Arabidopsis thaliana: one gene and its partners. The protein of the gene in region 4 interacts with the protein of the main gene of each other region in a pairwise test. Each region holds a gene or a part of one and is shown on either strand. Other genes may lie near its edges.

Region 1 (6,853 bases), on a different chromosome or scaffold from region 4:
AGTAGAGGTTTGGATATGGGACTAAGAAGCATAACAATGGTTACAGACGCGGTGAAGCCAGGTGGTTACTTTGGAAGCCAGATTCCGAAATCACTAGCCATTATAAAATGCCATCAAGATGAAGTTCTTGAACTCCCTGAATCAGCCACATTGCTTGCTTATTCAGACAAATACAACGTTGAGATGTGTTCGTATGGAAACCACTTGCTAGGCATCCAAGGCCATCCTGAGTACAACAAAGAGATTCTTTTCGAGATCATTGATCGTGTCGTCAATTTGAAGTTGATGGAGGTTTGCTTCTTATATCTTTATTCCATCGTCTTTAGTGTTACTTGTTGGAAGCTTTCTTGATGTTTCTTTGTTTGTTTTCTCAGCAAGATTTTGCGGATAAGGCGAAGGCAACGATGGAAAACGCGGAACCAGATCGGAAGCAATGGCAGACTCTCTGCAAAAACTTTCTCAAAGGAAGATCCGAGCAAGTTTAAACAATGAACAAAACCTGTAGAATTGGTTTGAAAATCTTAAAAAACATTTCTATGTAATAACAAGATTAAGAACGATCACAAATAATCATTTATATTACAGTAAGTGTTTAAACAACAACAAAAAAATTTGGAGCATTCTTAGAGATTGTGTACAAGTTAAAAAGAAAAAGAATTCTTGCGTATGCGATATTGGATCAGTGATCTTCAGCAGAGAAATCTGGTTCTGGAGGTTTCTGAAATTTCACCAATTCTTTAGTAGATGACAACAACAATGTTGATTTCGCGGTCCGGTTCTTGTGAACGCTACGAAGTGCATTTGCCGCAAACTTTGAAGCCAAGAACGTTGCTCTTATGCTATAAGGACTTCCTCCTGCTATAACTGATGCTGCTGCCGCTTCTTCTTCTTCCTCTTCTTTTCTAAGTTGCTCCAATTTCTTCCTCTTTATGTACCGTCGCCATGCTGCTTGCATGAAGCAAGCGGCCCAAGTCCTCCATTGCTGTGAATAGAATCTGAACGTGTGTTGTACTTGTCTGCTATGGAGTCTCCTGAACTGGCTTGCCACGAATTTCAGCTCATCGGCTATCAGAGCGAAAGCTTCCACTTCGGTTAAGGCCTTCACGGTTCTTGTAGAGGAAGGGAGGTTAGAACCGGATTTGGGATCAAGCGCCCATGTCAAAAGCTCGTCACCGCAGAAATCTCCTTCTTTAAGTAAACTCCGGTTGTAGAATCCGCTTCTACCGCCATCAGTGGTTACACTTTCGAGCCTACCACGGATAATGAAGAGCATCTCGTTGACTGGATCTCCCTCACGAACCAAGTACGACTTCTCAGTGAACAGACATGGCTTAAGCCTCTCACAGATTGCATCTAACAGCCTCTCATCCATATTCTCAAACAATGGAACCTTTGCCATAGGAAAAAGAAAACGGATTTAAAAAGACTTTTACGAAGATGTTAAATCGAGTGAATTACGAAAAGAAACTTACTCTTCGGACTAACGCGAGACAGAGATGACGTTTGATATCTCTTCTAAGATCCTTTGGGAGATTCTGAACAAGATTCTCTTCATCAACTCCACGCGTCTCCAACCACTTGTACTGGTCATATCGTCTAACCCGTTCCCGCAGTTCTGGTGGAAGCATTCGATGATGCATCCACTGTTCTGAGTCACGTCTTTTTACTCGCATTTCTTCTAACCGAATGGTAAGCGATTGAAGATAAGTCTGTCAAGAATTTATCAAAAACATCACATCGTTTTTCATACTCACTAGCGATAACAAGTGTATAAACACAAAAAACACTAACAAGGTCCCTTATTTACCTGCATGTTTCCAATGAGAAGTGCAAATAGTAGAAGTCCAGCAATAGCAAGTGTTATAGAGAATATAACCTCTCCAGGATATGTGCTGGTTTCAAGCCCTTGACCAAGTGTACTGCAAAAGGATTATCGAGGTTACTAATACGAAAGAGACTCATCGCATTGACAATATAACAAAATAAAATCCTTTGTATTACCTAAGATTCTGTAGTCCCCACCACAAACAGAAGAAGTACTTAGAGACAAAGTTCTTAGACGAGACGATGCCAGAGGAGAGTGCTCTTAAGTAGATTCCAAAATCAAAAGGAGGTTCTTCATCTTCGGGGACATTGACAGGGCACTTTAGTTGAAGATACGAAACTTTAATATTGTCCCAAGCAGCATAACCTTTCATATTTTGGTTACCACAAAACAAGAAGTTTCTAGTACAGTTCTGGTTATTGTGGCAAGCCTTACTCCAACAGTCGTTATTGCGTTCTAAAGCAAGCAAATACCACAAAGCCCCAACAATCTGCATACACATGAACTTATGAGAACATAAAAACGGATACAGTATGGTACAAGAAAATTGGATGCTAACATGACTTGCGAGCATGTAAAGCAACAAGTAGTACGCTGCACCCGCCCACGCAGTTTCAGCGAATACCCCGGCAGTTCTCTTCAGTTCTGAACTTAAAGGATACATTCGAAGAAACCGCGGAATATACTGAACTAAAACGATATATCTAAGTGCTTGTTTTGTCGCCAGTACATTCGCACCCCTCGAAGTATAGAGGAATCTCCAAACTATAATCTGAATAAAATAGACAAAAATGAATATCAACCAACAAAATCTTGAAATGTAGAGATGTTTGATGTCACATTCTGTTGTTATACCTGTGGAACCGGAAGAACAGAAAGTAAATCAATGATGAAATACTGTTGCAGATACCGCTTAGCTATCTGCGCCGGGTCTATAACAAGCTCTCCGCGGCCAAAAACCCGTGACGAGGGAGCAACATAAGCTGTTCTAAACCGTAGAGCCATATGAAAGAGATAAAACGAATCTATAACTGTCCTTATTGTAGTTACTATAATAGCCAGTTTCCGATCTATACCAACACATTTCGCTTTATCATTAATGAAAGGAAGATACAAGAAGAGAGGATCAACGGATACTGCGAGTATACACGAAGCGACGAACAACTTGTTGCAGAGTAAAAGAAACTTGTCTTGTGGATCAAATATCTTCTTCTCTGATACTTCAAGATCTTCTGGAAACACAGCGCGCGAAACACCGAGTCCAATCGATCGACCTATAGACCAAAGCCCCTCTGATCCTTTTCTAAACCCTTTCTTAAAAGATCCAGATGATGCTTTGCTTCCTTGAGCAAAACGTTTAGGTCCTCCTTGTATATTCAATGTGCATTTGTTTAGACCCGTTTCGGAACTTTGCGAGTACCTTGAGTCCATACTATCTAACCTATTTGAATTCAGGAATACTCAAAAAGCTTAATACTATTCATACAATTTCATGAGATTCAAAAATTGTTATATATACCTCACAAAGTTCTCGCGTTGGCCACTGATGACTTGAGATTTGACTCCTTTTGGGCCACAAGTATCGAACATACTCTTTTAACTCATGAATCCTAAAAAAACTGCTTTTGAGACAAATTATCATCAAGAAGAGAATCACTAGCGAACCCTTTTCAGCTATAATTTTAGGAGTTACCTAATTGGAACTAAGGAGGAGTTTTTCTTTTTTTGCAAATCAAAGCGATTGGGTTCTGAAATTAGGTTACTTGAGCTAATTTATCATTTCACCAGATTCATAAAAGATGATAAATTTAAAACCCAGAAACAAAAATCGAAACTTTAGCTACACAAAACGAACCAAACTCATTTCTAAGATAGCCTAAATCGAATCCAAAGTCAAACAATTGCAAACTCTAATCAAGCTCAGCGACTGAGATCAGGAGGAACATGAAGAAGAAGAAGAACTTACAGTTACAGTCGAATCTGACGGCGAAGAAGAAACGGAAGAAGAAGAGCACAAATTGTTAAAAAACGGGCAGAGAAGAAAGTGAAGGTGTCTTCTTCTGTCTTGTGTCCAAAAAATTGACTTTCTTCTTCTTGCTGTCCGAGTCGGGTCCCACCCGCTTCCTGTGCTGTCTCCTTTTAAATCATTACATGTAAGAAATATAGGGATATACTACAAACTATAATTTTCACTGCTTCTATATTTTACTTTGATTCAATATCTACTACTTAAAAAAATAAATTATATGTATAATTAGGTTGTCCCACGCCATGCATGGAATTAAATAATTTGTTTACGTATCAAAATGTTATATTATGGTTCTTTGTCCACAAAAAAAATGTGATACTATGGTTGATAATAGATGCTATAAGAGAGCATCTCCAACGCAGGGTTTTAATGCAATATTTGTTGGGCTCTCTTGATAATTTGAATTACAAATAAATCAAAATTGAATTAAACTGAGAGAGGCGTTTCTCTGAAGAGAGTTTTTGAGGGAACGAGAGAGGCGACAGGTGTCGCTAATTGATTTGTTGTGAAGTTTTAACAAAACAAAAAAAAAGTAGCGTTTCATTTTTTTGTTCGAAAGAGATAATCACTTTCTTTCTCTGTCTCTCTCTCTCGTGATAATGAAACCGGCGGTGAACTCTTGATTTCCGATTAGTTGACGCCGTGATTGTGTGTAATTGTGTTATCTGAGGCTTCTAGACGCCGGATTCATCAAAACGAAAGACGGTGAAGACCATCGGCGGAAGAGAAACCCAATCGGAGAATAGCAAATCTGATTTGGAGAGTAATCGTTGCCGAAGTCTCCAAATTAGGTATGAATCAAGCCATTCTTGCTTGTATATCGTGATTACATGTTGTATTTGGTGGTTTAATCTTTCAATTCAACATAAGATAAAAATTCAGGTAAAACAATTGTAAAACCAATGTTGAATATTGAATTTAAGATTGATGAATACTGGTTTTGACTCTACCTGTTTGTTTTTTCCGAACTTGGTTTTGCGGATCTGACATTTCCCGTAGTGTCTTGTTCAGGTGAACAAAAAAGGTACCCAGATGCTCTCAGGTTTACTTGGTATTGGAGTTCATGAGAATATTCTTTGGCCAGAATTCTTAGTTTTTGTTTTTTGCTTTGTATTTATTCAGTTGGCTTATAACTGTGAATAATTTAATAGAATTACGCTTATGCTCTGCAGATATATACTTTCAAGTAAAGGAAAATGAAGACATAATGCAGACTGTTGTTGCCTCGGATAATAATTATGTGGTATGTTGTCTTTTCAGGTATATTATCTTATTACATCATGAACCTTTGTAGATCATTCATTAAAAACTGGATGCATTAAGTCATTTTAAGCCTAGCTTTCTTCTGGAACGGTAGCTAAAGCTGCTTTCTTATTACTCTTGCTTTTTCTTTTTTTTTGGCTAATCTTCCAATATTCTGAATCTAAAGCGTACATAAGCATGCTTCAATAGTAGTCATGTAGGTTGGTGCCACTGCTTTATATATATATATATATATATCCTTGTGTATATGTCTATGTGTTTCTTTAGTTTAAATGATTCTGCTGCATGGTGTAGTCTTTACAGTTGCTATTGTTGTTTTCTCTATTCATTTGAAAAGAGATAAAGATGTGATAAGTTACATAAGTAATAGTCGGTTTTGATACAATGGAGATGATCAAGGTCCAAGGACATGGAGCTGAGCATTCCATCTCGTATTGGTTTTGGAAATTGAAGAAATCGAAGATGGTGAAAGTAAAGTCGAGGATGGAAACAAGGGCGATGAGGATGAAGGAGAAGACACAAGTTATTGAAAACAAGATCATTCATTTTTTTTTCAGAGAACTCTTTTAAGAAAACTTTAACAAAAAGTAAAACACAAAGCTCTCTTGTTAATTTTTTGGAAATTTAATCATAAAAAAATGGAGAGAGTCCTTGGAGAGGCTCTCTCCACTGGAGGTGCTCTGATACTCTTATTATATTTAACATTCGTTTTATTCCAATAACTCTAACCTACATGAGCTGTAATCTGTAGATATAATCCGAATTCTGAAAATGAAGAAAGCTACGTGAATCAATAAATGTACTCCGATTAATGTATTCTGCAAGAGTCAAGACAAGTGAAGGATTTCACCTTGAAATCAAAACATTCATCACCCAATTGAATAAATAATGAGACATCAATATAAAATATTTAGGTACCAAGAAGATTTGACATTGCTAGGAAACTAATTTTTTTTTATATTTGTAGAATAAATTGTTGACAGAAACAAAAGAATTGTAAATTAAATTATAAGTAATGTCAGATATGACATATTGTAAATTCAGATAATAATTATTCTGCAAAACATAGATTTTGGATGCATAACATGAAATTTAAACTTCAAGAACTTTTGTTAAAAGCCTTAAGCGAAAGCAAGCCCAATGACAGCAACAAGAGTCGAGGCCCAAAAGATGCCATTTCCAGCAACCAACCCAACAGCACTGCTCTTGGCCGGAGCTGGCGCCGGAGCCATCGTAGAAGTAGATGACTTTGGAGAAGGAGTGGGTGGAGCTGGGGCTGGAGCAGCCGGAGTAGTAGATGGCTTTGGAGGAAGAGTGGGCGTAACAGCGGCTGGTCCTGGCTTTGGGTGGTTAGGTGACTGAACCACGACAGTCACTTTCTCACCTTTAGCACAGTTACCACTCGGAGCTCCACTTATGAAGTAGTAAGGCCCTGAGACGTCGAGTTTCACTGTTGTGTATCCGTCTTTGTGTTCTTCCAAAGGCTTCTGTGTGTTGCATTTTTCGTAGTTTTCTTTTGTTACTTGTAACACCGAATCGATCTTTGAATCGTATTTAAACACTGTCACATGCAAAAACAATCCTTAGCTTACTATCTTATGCATTCGTATATATGAAAAAATAATTATATATCTTAAATGTGTTTTAAGTTCCTTGAATATATCTAAATGATTTGGATTATTGACATATCAAATAACCAAACCCAACTCAAGACTTCTGATATTCAAACCAGAAGC
Region 2 (4,754 bases), on a different chromosome or scaffold from region 4:
TGTGAATATAGTACTAGATTATATTGTTTTCGTGATTCCTTTTTGCTGTCAATGGAATTTATACCAATAAGCTAGAAACCAAATTCGAACTTATATTGGTATCACCACTAAAGGACATTGACTTTTTGTTGTAAGATCTCATATTACCATCTCTAAAGTATAAAAATTCAAATAAACATCAAACCCATGGTCTGACCTAATTAAACAAATAAAGTTAGGCGATTTATCAAACCTCCCACATGTTTAGACTAGCTTTAGAATAGCCCTAGCTTGGGTTAATTTTGTTGAAAACTAGAATCCACTAGCCCTAGCTTGGGTTAATTACGTTGAATACTACAGCTTGATCAGCATTGTTTCTAGATTACCTTTTTTTTTTTTTTTTCAATTGTACATAGGATTTACTTATATTTTCGAATGGATACATGAAACAAGAATACTTCATCATATATGTTTATATTTTTTAAAAAATCAGATTTTATAGACAATTCTATTTTGACTATTCAGGATATTATTAAATACAGTTTTCATTTTCTTTATCTATCTTGTTTTTATTTTTTGACTGAAGGACTTGTCAGTAACAAAAGTAAAACAACAGGTTTGTTATATCTTGTTTTTTTTTGTCTCCCCCAAATGATTTTCAGAAATAAAAATATTTGTGAGTGGCACTCATACGTAATTAAGAGGCAGGGAATGGGGCATAACTGGCAGTAAGAAACAAAAGAAGAAAAATAGTAAAAGTCAAAAGTCGACCCATCAGTCACTCTCTAACGCGTTAGTCAATGGGAACCGGCAAATGGAGACCGAGACGCCACTCGCCGAACCGGCAATTATGGGTAACCGCCACCGGTTTACTTCTCTAAAGTTCTGACTTTCCTTAATTATTGCAACACGAATTTTGAAATGGCCAATTAATACATGCTCTGTTCGGTTTTGTTTGTACTAGTCAACTATTAGCGACCGAATTATTGACTATTCAATAGTTCAACGTTAAATTATTAAGGACAATTCAAAACTATTCCTTTCATATTCAACATTTTTATTTAGAGACAAAATCACCAATCCATAATTTAATTTATTTATTTATTAATCATTTAAGCGGTTCGAAAACTATATCACTAAAATCAATTGGTAAACCAATAAATTACAAAACGATCATGATTTACTAGAGCTTCTCGTTTTTGAGGTTGAAGACTGTTGGTCTCCCAAAAAAAAAAAATCAATTTACCCCAAAACTATTTTTATTTTGCATTAATTAATTATTATCATAAAACTTTATTAACACCATAAATTGCATTTGGTGCTTCAAAAAATAAAATAGTATTTATTTACTTAATTCCTTACCAAATATTTTATATCCAAGTTGTGGAGGTCATAAAATTGGCCCAACAAGTACAAATTAGGAAACCCACTAATATTTAAAGCCCAATAGGTCCACTCAATTTTGCAATTTCTTAAAACGTGTTGTTAACAAGAACACATTTTATGGTCCAGTGGTCACCGCCACCAACTTCTCGACTTCGAGAGAGACAAGAGTAATCCAACGATCTGGTTGATAGTGGTAACACTGTTCCAATGAGCATTTTTTGGCATATCCCTCAATATATCTTTATTGGGAACATCTAGCGTTTTGTTCTTTCTTAGTCGGCTTGATTTTTTCTATGAACAATCTCTAGATGCAAAATTTGTGTAGTGCTTGGACTCTTCACTCGGCTCATTGATTCTTACACTTGTTGCATATTTCACGACAATGAACCTTAGTAACGGTCATCTTGATTACTATTTTTGGCTTTTGGTCTGTCTTGGCTTTGTTAATTTACCGGTTTGGCTAGAAAGGTTTCGTAAGATTTGTTTGATGTCTTCTTTAAAACTTGAAGTCTCTAACTTGTTTGATAACTTTTGTTGTGTTAGGGGAAAAGTGTGCTATGGCTCAAAATTTGCTTAATGCTTAAGTCTAATCAGATTAATAAAGTTTGTGTGGTTTTATATTCCCTCTTTTTTTTTATAACATTTTTTAAAGAATGTGGTTCTGTGGTGAGTGACCACTCACACCACCAACAACAACTTGGTCAGTGGGAGGATCATTTTATTTGATCCTTCGTTGAGAAGCTTAAATCAGCTTTACGTGAAAATTGTCATGTTGAGGAGAAAGTAAAAAATGGCTTCCATTGATGAAGAAAGGTCACTTCTTGAAGTTGAAGAATCTCTTATACAGGTTCAACCTCATTGTCATTGTTTCTTTAGTGTTTTGGGGTCTAAATCTTTGTTGACTAATTCGTTTTTCTCCAGGAAGAAGTAAAATTATATGCTGAAGATGGTTCAATAGATATTCATGGAAACCCACCATTGAAGCAGACAACAGGAAACTGGAAAGCTTGTCCATTCATTTTTGGTAAACACTTTGTTTTATTTCACTTGTAATGTACTTGTTGTATTCTCTCATGTTCTGTCTTTAATCTCCAAAAACTGATATCTATGCTTTGGTTGGTGCAGCAAACGAATGCTGCGAACGGTTGGCTTATTATGGAATTGCCAAGAATCTCATCACGTACTTCACAAATGAATTGCATGAGACTAATGTTTCTGCTGCTAGACACGTCATGACATGGCAAGGAACATGTTACATCACTCCTCTTATTGGAGCTTTAATAGCTGATGCTTACTGGGGAAGATATTGGACTATTGCTTGTTTCTCTGCCATTTATTTCACCGTAAGCATTTTCTTGAAAAATAACTTTGCTTTATGTTCTGTTCTTGGCTTGATGTTCTGTTCTTTGATGTTGTTTTAAGGGAATGGTTGCATTGACACTCTCAGCTTCAGTTCCGGGTCTTAAGCCAGCGGAATGCATTGGCTCTCTATGTCCACCAGCAACAATGGTTCAGTCTACGGTTTTATTTTCAGGGCTTTACCTTATCGCTCTTGGCACTGGAGGAATCAAACCATGTGTCTCATCCTTTGGTGCTGATCAGTTTGATAAGACCGATCCAAGCGAACGAGTCAGAAAAGCTTCTTTCTTTAACTGGTTTTACTTCACTATCAACATTGGTGCTTTTGTTTCATCTACTGTTCTAGTTTGGATTCAAGAGAATTATGGATGGGAATTAGGATTCTTGATACCTACCGTGTTCATGGGACTTGCTACTATGAGTTTCTTCTTTGGCACGCCGCTTTATAGATTTCAGAAACCGAGAGGTAGCCCGATTACTAGCGTCTGCCAAGTTCTTGTAGCCGCATACCGTAAATCGAATCTCAAGGTCCCTGAAGACTCCACGGACGGTTACAAGAAAATCTTTTTCCCTCTCATTTCTTGTTTGAATTGAGCATTAGTCTATTAACGGTTAAATAAACGGGTTGTGATATCAATGTACAGGTTTCTTGACAAAGCGGCAATTATATCAGAAGGAGATGCAAACACTAACCCGTGGAAGCTATGTACCGTGACTCAAGTCGAAGAAGTTAAGATTCTGTTACGTTTGGTCCCCATTTGGGCCTCAGGAATCATCTTCTCAGTTCTCCATTCACAGATTTACACTCTCTTTGTTCAACAAGGACGGTGCATGAAACGAACCATCGGCTTATTCGAAATCCCTCCCGCAACTCTCGGGATGTTCGACACTGCAAGTGTTCTCATATCTGTCCCAATCTATGACCGCGTCATCGTTCCCTTAGTGAGACGGTTCACAGGCTTAGCTAAAGGATTCACCGAGCTACAAAGAATGGGGATTGGTCTTTTTGTCTCTGTTTTGAGCTTGACATTTGCAGCTATCGTTGAGACGGTTCGGTTACAGTTAGCTAGAGATCTTGATCTAGTGGAAAGTGGAGACATTGTTCCATTAAACATCTTTTGGCAAATCCCTCAGTACTTTTTAATGGGCACTGCTGGAGTTTTCTTCTTTGTTGGGAGGATTGAGTTTTTCTATGAGCAATCTCCAGATTCAATGAGAAGCTTGTGTAGTGCTTGGGCTCTTCTCACTACTACACTAGGAAACTACTTGAGCTCGTTGATCATTACCCTTGTGGCGTATTTGAGCGGAAAAGATTGTTGGATTCCTTCAGACAACATTAACAATGGACATCTTGATTACTTCTTCTGGCTTTTGGTCAGTCTTGGATCTGTTAACATACCTGTTTTTGTCTTCTTCTCTGTGAAATATACTCATATGAAGGTTTGATCTCTTCTTCTGGCTCTTGTGTGTACTTTCAAAATTGTTTTTTTTTAAACCAGCAAATCAGTTATATTAAATCATAACGGTTTACATGATACATACAACAACCATTCAAATATAACTATTGAAACAAATAAAGGAAATTGAACACAATTTTGATGAAGAAGTGTAAGTGACCCTGCTTTCGAAACGGAAGCCTTACAGGCAACAAAATAAATCTGTTAAGTCCTCTCATCATACACTCGCAAAAAGCTAACATCTTATAGATGAAACTCCTAAATGCTTTCTGCATTACTTTAATAAAACGAAGAATTTGGTAAGTTGCTCGAAATGGTTCTGAATCATGCTTTTTGAAACGCTCTGCACCGGTTAATGACTATGGATTTTCCTTTTACAAGACTCACTAACGGATTCAATCCATTAGTTTTCATTTTCTCTTGCGCCAATTTGTCAAATCTTCGAAGACATAATATTCCCGGAACCCATATTCGTCGACCGAAGCACCAGTTGTGAGGAAGAGTCGCTACGAGCCTCATTTGATCTTCGGCTAAAACCTCTTGCAACGGTTCACTAGGAAGCGCACCAGAGTC
Region 3 (5,858 bases), on a different chromosome or scaffold from region 4:
CAAGAAGACCCTAGAAGGCTAGAATCTAGGCATAAAGGGAAAATTTGAGGCGGAGAAGGAAGTTGAAGCAGAGAGTTTTAGTAATTTTGATAAGAAGAAGAAGAAATAAGAAAGGAGATGATGACCAAGTCAGGGGTCTTCTTCTTCGTAGCCCAGGTCAAGGAAGTGTATTATTGTAAATAAAACTCATGTCTGGAAAAGTCAAACACTGACTTTTATTACATTGTTTATTATTTCGTGTCCGTGAGGCTTCTCTCTCCTCTGTGTTTTTAACATTTATTTCCTTTTGAATATTCACGAATTCGAAAATTCCTTTATTTGATTACCAACTGTAACTAATTAATTGGCCCTAATTATTGGAGGCAAAATGTCATTAACTACATGGCTGTTTCCGTTTCTTTGTCTTAATTAACTTCTTACAGTAAAGAAGTACCGAAAAGGCAAAAATCATTCATTATCCAGGCTTGATTAATTATTAATTTAAGATCAATTAGAATGGGCCGAAATTATGAGCCCAAGTTACTCAAGCCGAGTGACCTGAAGTAAAATTATACCGTATGATTGGAAAAACAGCAAAAAGATACTTAAGAAACACTAATGAGTGAATTGATTACAACGAATGAATCATCGATTCATCTTTTATAGTGAATCACTAAGCTTTATACTTCAAAATAAAATTACTAATCTACCAAACCAAACATCATCATCAAATTTAACGGTTGGAATTGGAGTGAGCAGTGTTTAATCTCTGGAGTTGTCTCTTTCGGTATCTCCAAGCCACTTGGATCTGCATAGCTGCTCGTAACCTCCAATAAGGAGACTCGTACCTTATAGCTCCTTGCACTCGATGGCTTCTTAAGAATCTTGAAAACAAGCTTGTTACATCTTCAAGATCTGCTACACTCAGCGAAAACGCCTCCACGTTTGTCACACACCTAACATTTCTGTTGCTAACCAATCCCTTTGGTGGCATCTTTATCCTCGTCCCATCTGCAAGTTTCAAAACGTATTCAGCTCCAAAGTTCCAAGTTTCTAACCAAAAAACATTAAGAGTTATGAACACTCAAATGTTATTAGTACCGGGGTTTATAGAAGAGAGGCACCAAGTGAGAAGTTCTTCACCACAAACGTCTCCTTCTGATAAAGGAAGAACAGAACCGTCTTCTCCAATGCTCTCCATCTCACCTCTCACTATGAATACCATTTTCTCTACTAGACCTCTGTGATGCAACACCGTGCTACTCCTTATGTAAGTCCTCTGTTTCAGCCTCTCTCTGATTGAATCTAAAACTGATTCATCCATCAACGAAAATATTCTCACCTGCAAACTCATTAACACTTGGATTCAGAACTAGCTTTTTGCAACACTGTGGAGTCTGAGTACACAAAATGAATACTGACTAATGCTGTCATGAGGCTGTTGCTTATTACCTTCTTGAGAAATTTGAAGAGGTGTCTTCTTATATCTCTTTGAAGGTCATCAGGCATGTTCTCAAATAGCAATTCTTCGTTAACTCCTCTTGTCGCAGCCCAAGTGTACCGCTCAACCTCTCTCACCCTCCTGAAAAAGTTGAACAGTTGATTAGTTATGAATATCACATTACACAGCCTGAGAAAATCAAATGCCACAGTGCACAGACTTTCTTATATCTTCTGGCAAACGTCTATGGCTCATCCACTGCTCCACATCACGCTTTCTCAGCATCATTTCCATCCTCCTAAAACAGAACATGCATTAGCCAAGAAATTCACCATCCCTTTTCAGAACATTGTTGATGAAATGTGATTTACCTTCGATCAAGTGATTGAAGGAAGTTGTGCATGTTACCGATAAGCCGCGCAAAAAGCAAAAGCCCTAGTCCAATGATACCCATTGTAAAGAAAACCTCACCCACTGAGTAACTTGGGGATAAGTTTCCAGCAAGTGTGCTTATTTGCTTTCAGAGTTGAAAACATTTCAACATTAGTTAAAGAGTGATTCAAAGACTAATAGCTGCAACATCAACCAAACCTGAAATGAACTTACTTGGAATCCCCAATACAGAGAATAACTGAATCTTGTGAAGAAACTAGATTCATTGGTAAGATTCACTGCCTTCAAATAGATCCCATAGGTATAACCATTTTCTTGAAAACAAGCATTGACACTAGCATTATCTCTCCACAGATCTCGTTGTGACTTCGATGCATAACTTCCACGAGCACAATCGATAAGATTTCTACGTTCATCCGCAGAAATATTCCAAGCATTCAGCATGCATTTCTTAACTCTCTGAAAAAAGCAATACAACAAAAACAATCTTTAAATCACTTGATAGATATGAAGAGAATCTTTAAAGACACTGATCTTCTACTATATACCTGCAGAGCAGAGAGATACCAGCAAGAGCCAACAGCGTGACCAGCAAGCATGAAGGTGAGAAGATTAATAACAAAATTAGCCCAAGCTGACTCAAATATGAAGCCAGTAGATGTTTGTCCAGCAAGAAGAGGTAAGAGTCTATATAACTTTGGAATGTATTGAAAAAGAACCGTAGCGCGTAAAATCTGTTTCTCAGATTCTTCCCTGCGTGTGCCTAAGTGTAATGGTATTATCCTTAATATCATTATCTGTGGAATGGGAAAGACTATGAACATGTCAAGGAGAAACTTTCCTCGGAAGTAATGGCGAGCAATTTTTCTTGGATGATCAACTAACTGGCCGGCACCAACTATTCTAGACTCAGGAGCTACATAGGCCAACCTAAACTGCAACACATAAGACCAAAGAAGCGTTAAAGCCAATGAATTTCCTTAGATATGAGATAGGAGCAATGGAGACACACCTGAAGCAGAATGTTAATGAAGAATATAAGATCCGTTATACTTCTAAGAGACACCAATACTTTAGTCGCACGCCAATCAATCGCTATGCATTTGTTGTCCTGCAGTATCAAACTCATGAAAACGTATACAGTCAAGAAGGAGATTGATAGAGCAAGAGAAGGAGACATACTTGTTGGATCAATAAGAGGAAAAAGAAGAGAGGGTCTATAAAAATGGCCACTAAGCTTGAAAAGGCTAAGACTCTAGTCCAGACTTGAACAAATTTGGAATGAGGATTCATTATTCCGGGTAAGCATCTACGAACAGAGGAGGCAAATCGCTTAGCCCAACCTCTAGCATCACCATACAGAACAGTGCGAAACTAAACAAGACAAAAGAAAGTAAAATACTCTTGTGTCAGCTGCTATGTATAATGTTTACTTGAGTCTCAAGGTAAGTAGAAATATCATACCCTAGAGGCAGAAACTCTGGAAGTGTGCAATTGAGCAGCTTGGCGGTTGTAGTAAGAAGGGCAAGTAGTGCAGTAAGGATCATTGCACATCCCTAATTGTCCAGATCTCAAGAGATTTGCGTTTTTGAAGACGAAATCATCTTCAGGTGGAACATCAACGGTAGAAGAGGAATCAGGAGATTCTTGAGGAGAAGGAGAGAAGAGAGGTTCTGTTCTGCGAGTAGAGTGAATAGGACCACTCATTTGCACTAAAGGAGGTCTTATTCTCTGGGTTCGAAGAGGACCCGTGTAGCCTAAAGTCACAGTTGAGTTGTCAAATCCGTCAATGGAGAAAGATGGGTTTGAGAGAGAAACGCTACGGTTTCTGGAAGTGAAAGTCCTAGTGTGAGCCATTTTTTATTTCAGAAACCCAAAATCTAGGGCATGTAGGAGAAGAAAAAAAAGCAAAATGATGACAGAGAGAAGAAGAAAGAAGGAGACGAAGACAGAGACTTGGGTTTCGTTTTGTATCCCGTCAAGCAAATGTGGACGACACTTTATAAGGAAAAGAATGGAAAAAAAAAAACATGAACTACATCGAACTTTGCAGGAAATTTAAGAAAAGAAATGTTACATTTTAGATCTTGTGTTGAACCCATCAACGAAGCTTCCAAAGGAATAGAAAACCTCAGTAGTAAGTAAAGCAAAAAAGTTGGAAGAGAGAAAACCTCAAGAAGCTGCCTCTTGTGTTACTTTGAAAACTTTATCCAAGAGCTTTGTCCATTGTGTATTTTATTTAGTGCATATTTCCAAATAAGAATGATGATTTCTGAGCATTAGTGAAAAAGAATAAACTGGAATTCTCACCAAACACACAGTTCAGGTTTTTTTTTTTTATATGCAATTGTCTCATATGATAAAATAATTAAGAGTGTGAATAAAGAGATCCGCGTTTATGGAAAAAGACGATGAAATAAATATTATTTTCTAAAACGCACATTTTTATTTATTTATGAAAACATTATTCGATGACATAACTTTATGAACTCTTCTGGATATATAAAATTGTCATTTACCACCAACCAATATGCTCTCTCCCTCTTTTTGCTTTCTAAATTTGATGTCAGAATCTCAAAAACCTAAAGGCTTTGAGTTATTAAGCCCAACAAACAATGGGCCGCAACTACCAAACCCAAGTACTAAAGCCACGTGTTAAAATATGAGTGGAACAAAATCAAATGCTTGTAACTTTGGCGGATTTTGCCTGTTATATGCTCTGCACTGATACAACTGAACAAACGTGTCAGCTATCTTCTCTCTCTCACTATTTCTGGGTTTGTATCTTTCTTCTCCCCACTCCGATCCTTCATTAATCTCGATGATCTAAAATATCCCTTTCTTAACATTTATTATCTTCTTGGAAAAGCCATCAATGTCTTCATCATCTATGCCATTATTCCCATTTTCCCTTTATAATTTTATATACGAATCACTAACTAAAACAAGTATATCTTTCAGGTTGAAGAAGATGAAGAACAAAGCATCCATGGAAGCTCCACAGTTGCCATCTCTCTCTGGTACTTTCATTTTCCATTTTCAAATTTCTTCTCACTCTCTCTCTCTCTTTTTGGAGCTTTTTCACATTTTCAAATTTTCAAATCACAAAGCATGCTACAGAAACAGTGGACCCCCTTTTTCTCTCTCTCTCTTGCTCTGTTTGTCTTTCTCTCTCATCACTTCTTGTCTGAAAAAATGTTGGAAACAGACCTTGAAGCTCGGATGCAAATCCTGCGTGAGTCTGGTTTTCAAGAAAGCCAAGGAGATGATGATACCTTTGCTCAACGAGCTGAATGGTTTTACCAGGGACGACCTTTGCTTCTCTCACTTTGTCTGGACCTGTACAACGGCTACGTCACTCTCTTGGGTCGTTCTTCTCATCAGACCAGACTTAAACCCACTACTTCTCTTCCGAACCAGCTTCTCCAAGATGATGATGACTGCATTTCGGACATTGATTCCGTTAGTGAGGTCAGTTCTGAAGTTGAGAGCACCTTATCCTTTCAACAGATGAAAGATCCTACTGCGGTTTCTGAGAAAGTCGATGAGCTTGTATCCCAACTTGTGACAGCAAGCTTGGACAAAGAGATTCTGAAACACGAGTTACTTCACAAGGACCAACAGTTTCATGAAGCCTCCAAGACTATAGAGCTGTTGAAGAAGTTTGTCATGTTGCTGGAGATGGAGAAAGAAGTGGCTGTGGAGGAAAACGCTAATCTTGGCTACAAACTCACTTCTCTCTTGGAGGAGAACAGAGAGCTAGCCACTGAGGCATTGTTCATGAAGAACGAAGCTGTTGGGCTTGCTAGGTGTGTGCTTAAGATGAGAGATGACCACTTTCACAAGGTCTGCATTCTCCAGAACCGCATCTACTCGCTTCAGGCATCTAGGAACTCAGAGCCCGTCTCTGATAAGGTCTCATACGGATGCTTTGGCCTGGATAAGCATAAGACCAAAAAGAAGAAGGAGAACAAAACCGAAGAGAAGAAGCCTGGATTCAAGTGGTTGAAGAAACTGAACACCATTAACCTGTTTACAAAGTGCA
Region 4 (3,058 bases):
AGTGGACATCTATTCAACGCAATTTCTCAATAATTTATTCGGATGAATATCGGAATTGAGTAGATAGGGATCGGTCGTCGGTTCCTCCATTTTCAAAACCCTAAGAACAACCAAAGTCTTCATCATTTATTTGTCCAATTCCAATGATCTATTTCGTCCAAACGGCTAAGATTGAAGGAGTCTTCGTGAAATATTTGTTGTCTAATTTAGTTTAATGTTTTATCACCACACACATTGACACCGCATTAAACTCTAACAAGTTTTTCAAACACGTTTGTTCATCACCAGGTTTTTCTTTAAAATTATTGTGTATTACTTATCATATACAATGAAAATTATTGTTATACCGTATAACACATAAAAATTTCTTAAACTACATTGACTACTTTAATAAATAAATAAAACACATTACATCTCATATTATAAGAATACTTTTTTTAGTTGTTACATTTGTTTTTATAAATCCTCCATAGTTGTTTTAAAGTTTAATATGATTGAGTTGCGATCTAGTATTATTATTCTTTATTAAATATGCTTGACCTTTCTCATTGAAGAAAGATGTAAACATTTGAAAGCATGGCTTCACCTAATCTTCCTTTCAATTACAGGTCACATCATCCAACTCTAAACACCAACCTCCCTTAGTTTTCCTTGCTTTTAGCATTATAACATTAACAAGTCTTTGCAATGTTTAATTTTCTTTGAATTTGAGAAATCTTTCACATTAAACATTTTCATTAATTGATAATTAATTAAATAACCTTTATCAGTAGAACTGTTCTCATAGTTATAAAATAAACATTTGGAAAACCCCACCTCAGTTTCAACTTGCAACCTATAGATCAAAGTTATTTCATTTCATCATGTTATATATATAATGTCGAAATTCTTGACCGGGACTGGTTTGTCTTTTTCTAACTTTGTATAGGCTTATTGATATTTTGGCCACATTTTCTATTTTTGTTCTCAAAAGTCTTTCGTCAAGTTTAAGAAACAATGGCTATATTAGAGCAGTCGCTTTTGGGGAAGTTTCTCGGAAGCTTAGTTACATTGTAAAAATGACTATTCACAATTCACAAACTAACTACCGCACTAAGTATCATCACATTCTCACATGTCTTATATAATAAAAGAATATATAAATAAATATCTACATATGGATATTCTTGTATGCGATCGGCACTAACCTCATTAATCACCAAATCATGTATATATGGATTCAAGAAATAATCTCATTAAGCTTAACCAAAGTATACATAGTCAAATTGAAGAAGAAACCATATAGTAAAATTTAAGAAACAATCTTTAATGTATATCAAACTGTTAATCCTAAATATCTAATAACAATCTCGCAAGTAACCTCTACTTAAATCAAATTTTCATCGAACAATATTAAACCGACGCGTCACCTTTGACTTTGAAAAAACAAAACCGCGTCAAATTAAATCGTTTTATCTAATACACGTTATCTCTACAGTGTATATATATTACGGCCTCTTCTTCTTCACTTCAAATCATATTTACTTTTTCAAAATCTTATCACAAACCAAAAAAAACTTTCTTTCAAAATCGTTCTCTGAGGCATTTTAACGAACAGATGGCGGACTTAAACGGTGCGTATTACGGACCATCGATTCCACCGCCGAAGAAAGTCTCTCACAGCCACGGCAGACGCGGCGGTGGATGCGGTTGTTTAGGTGACTGTCTTGGCTGCTGCGGCTGCTGTATCTTAAGCGTCATCTTCAACATCCTCATAACCATAGCCGTCTTATTAGGCATAGCTGCTCTAATCATCTGGCTCATTTTCAGACCCAACGCTATCAAATTCCACGTCACCGACGCTAAACTCACCGAATTCACACTCGACCCAACCAACAACCTCCGATACAATCTCGATCTCAATTTCACAATCCGTAACCCTAACCGCCGGATCGGTGTTTACTATGATGAAATCGAAGTCAGAGGATACTACGGTGATCAGCGATTCGGTATGAGTAACAACATCTCGAAGTTTTACCAGGGACATAAGAACACGACGGTGGTTGGAACTAAACTCGTGGGACAGCAATTGGTGCTGCTTGACGGCGGAGAGAGGAAGGATTTGAACGAGGATGTGAATTCTCAGATCTATAGGATCGATGCCAAGCTGAGACTTAAGATTAGGTTTAAGTTTGGGTTGATCAAGTCGTGGAGGTTCAAGCCCAAGATCAAGTGCGATCTCAAGGTTCCTCTTACCTCTAATTCAACCAGCGGGTTTGTTTTTCAGCCGACCAAGTGTGACGTTGACTTTTGATTGCTAGTCAAGAGTCAATGCTATTATAGTCTTCTTCGAGTTCATCATATTACACTTGTTTATTGATTCTTATTTTAGATTGTTTTGCTTTATTATCTTCCATACATATCGTTGGAGAGAGATATTTTTCTTATGTAATGTTTTATTGTATGGTTCCATGTAAATAAATAATCACATTTTGTTTAATGCTAATAACTATACAATTAGCATTATGATTGTCTCATGAAGCATTGATCCAAGTATCAAAAATGCGGAATCTTCTGCTTTCCCACTGATCCATTTTGTGTTTGTAGAATGAGAACAAGCAACATTGTACCCATGGAGGATTTCTTGGCACTTTCTCCATCTCTTCACCTCCCAACAATCTATTCAGCTTCTTGACTAGAGCCTCTTCATCAGATTCGTCACACCCGAAAAACTTTTCCTGTAAAAAGATATACAGATATAAGTATTAGACAATCCTTCAATGAACACTAATAATTAATCGTGTTTTACTTACCCCTTCATCAGCATATAGAGAAGCATGGATTCTGGCGGTTGCATCTTCTAGTATAGCTACCAATTTGATATTTCCGTTGATATCACGGAGTTTTCTGACGTCTCGGGGATACACTTGTATGAACCGAACAACACACCTGAATTTAGCAGTCACCTGCATAATAAGCATCAGTAAAACATCAATTCAAGAAAGTTTTCACTATACTCTTTTCCTACAACTTATGATAAATCCAAGGTTTTTGGATACATTACATTGTGATAGGTCAG

What was found.
Region 1: the proteins of NHL3 (region 4) and CNGC6 interact in a protein complementation assay, tested with the Arabidopsis thaliana proteins (one large-scale study listed by BioGRID).
Region 2: the proteins of NHL3 (region 4) and PTR4 interact in a protein complementation assay, tested with the Arabidopsis thaliana proteins (one large-scale study listed by BioGRID).
Region 3: the proteins of NHL3 (region 4) and CNGC19 interact in a protein complementation assay, tested with the Arabidopsis thaliana proteins (one large-scale study listed by BioGRID).

The regions. Positions count from the first base shown.
Region 1 is NC_003071.7:10,200,597-10,207,449, forward strand, and holds CNGC6 (cyclic nucleotide-gated channel 6), read right to left. Parts: upstream 4,827-6,853; 5' UTR 4,805-4,826; exon of another isoform or gene 4,647-4,804; coding exon of another isoform or gene 4,529-4,646; exon of another isoform or gene 4,206-4,528; intron 3,962-4,205; 5' UTR 3,792-3,961; exon of another isoform or gene 3,445-3,791; 5' UTR 3,416-3,444; coding exon 3,345-3,415; exon of another isoform or gene 3,267-3,344; coding exon 2,681-3,266; intron 2,598-2,680; coding exon 2,002-2,597; intron 1,920-2,001; coding exon 1,808-1,919; intron 1,710-1,807; coding exon 1,473-1,709; intron 1,391-1,472; coding exon 680-1,390; 3' UTR 508-679; downstream 1-507. Other genes in the region: AT2G23970 (Class I glutamine amidotransferase-like superfamily protein), read left to right, coding at 1-291, 375-485; AT2G23987 (uncharacterized protein), read right to left, coding at 4,529-4,646, 4,855-4,878, 5,027-5,099, 5,519-5,663; AT2G23985 (uncharacterized protein), read left to right, coding at 4,887-4,905, 5,027-5,097, 5,508-5,687; ENODL11 (early nodulin-like protein 11), read right to left, coding at 6,239-6,678. UniProt on the Arabidopsis thaliana protein: Probable cyclic nucleotide-gated ion channel.
Region 2 is NC_003071.7:476,962-481,715, forward strand, and holds PTR4 (Major facilitator superfamily protein), read left to right. Parts: upstream 1-2,015; 5' UTR 2,016-2,155; coding exon 2,156-2,212; intron 2,213-2,286; coding exon 2,287-2,389; intron 2,390-2,490; coding exon 2,491-2,708; intron 2,709-2,787; coding exon 2,788-3,274; intron 3,275-3,368; coding exon of another isoform or gene 3,369-3,397; coding exon 3,398-4,170; 3' UTR 4,171-4,224; downstream 4,225-4,754. Other genes in the region: AT2G02023 (uncharacterized protein), read right to left, coding at 4,506-4,754.
Region 3 is NC_003074.8:6,043,194-6,049,051, reverse strand, and holds CNGC19 (cyclic nucleotide gated channel 19), read right to left. Parts: upstream 4,051-5,858; 5' UTR 3,671-4,050; coding exon 3,278-3,670; intron 3,188-3,277; coding exon 2,996-3,187; intron 2,925-2,995; coding exon 2,826-2,924; intron 2,749-2,825; coding exon 2,362-2,748; intron 2,273-2,361; coding exon 2,027-2,272; intron 1,938-2,026; coding exon 1,792-1,937; intron 1,719-1,791; coding exon 1,641-1,718; coding exon of another isoform or gene 1,619-1,640; exon of another isoform or gene 1,602-1,618; intron 1,562-1,601; coding exon 1,432-1,561; intron 1,322-1,431; coding exon 1,081-1,321; coding exon of another isoform or gene 1,064-1,080; exon of another isoform or gene 991-1,063; coding exon 713-990; 3' UTR 523-712; downstream 1-522. Other genes in the region: AT3G17680 (Kinase interacting (KIP1-like) family protein), read left to right, coding at 4,785-4,833, 4,890-5,858. UniProt on the Arabidopsis thaliana protein: Putative cyclic nucleotide-gated ion channel.
Region 4 is NC_003076.8:1,930,251-1,933,308, reverse strand, and holds NHL3 (NDR1/HIN1-like 3), read left to right. Parts: upstream 1-1,540; 5' UTR 1,541-1,597; coding exon 1,598-2,293; 3' UTR 2,294-2,513; downstream 2,514-3,058. Other genes in the region: AtPOT1b (Nucleic acid-binding, OB-fold-like protein), read right to left, coding at 2,514-2,717, 2,793-2,945, 3,044-3,058. UniProt on the Arabidopsis thaliana protein: Confers resistance to Pseudomonas syringae pv. tomato DC3000 (Pst DC3000).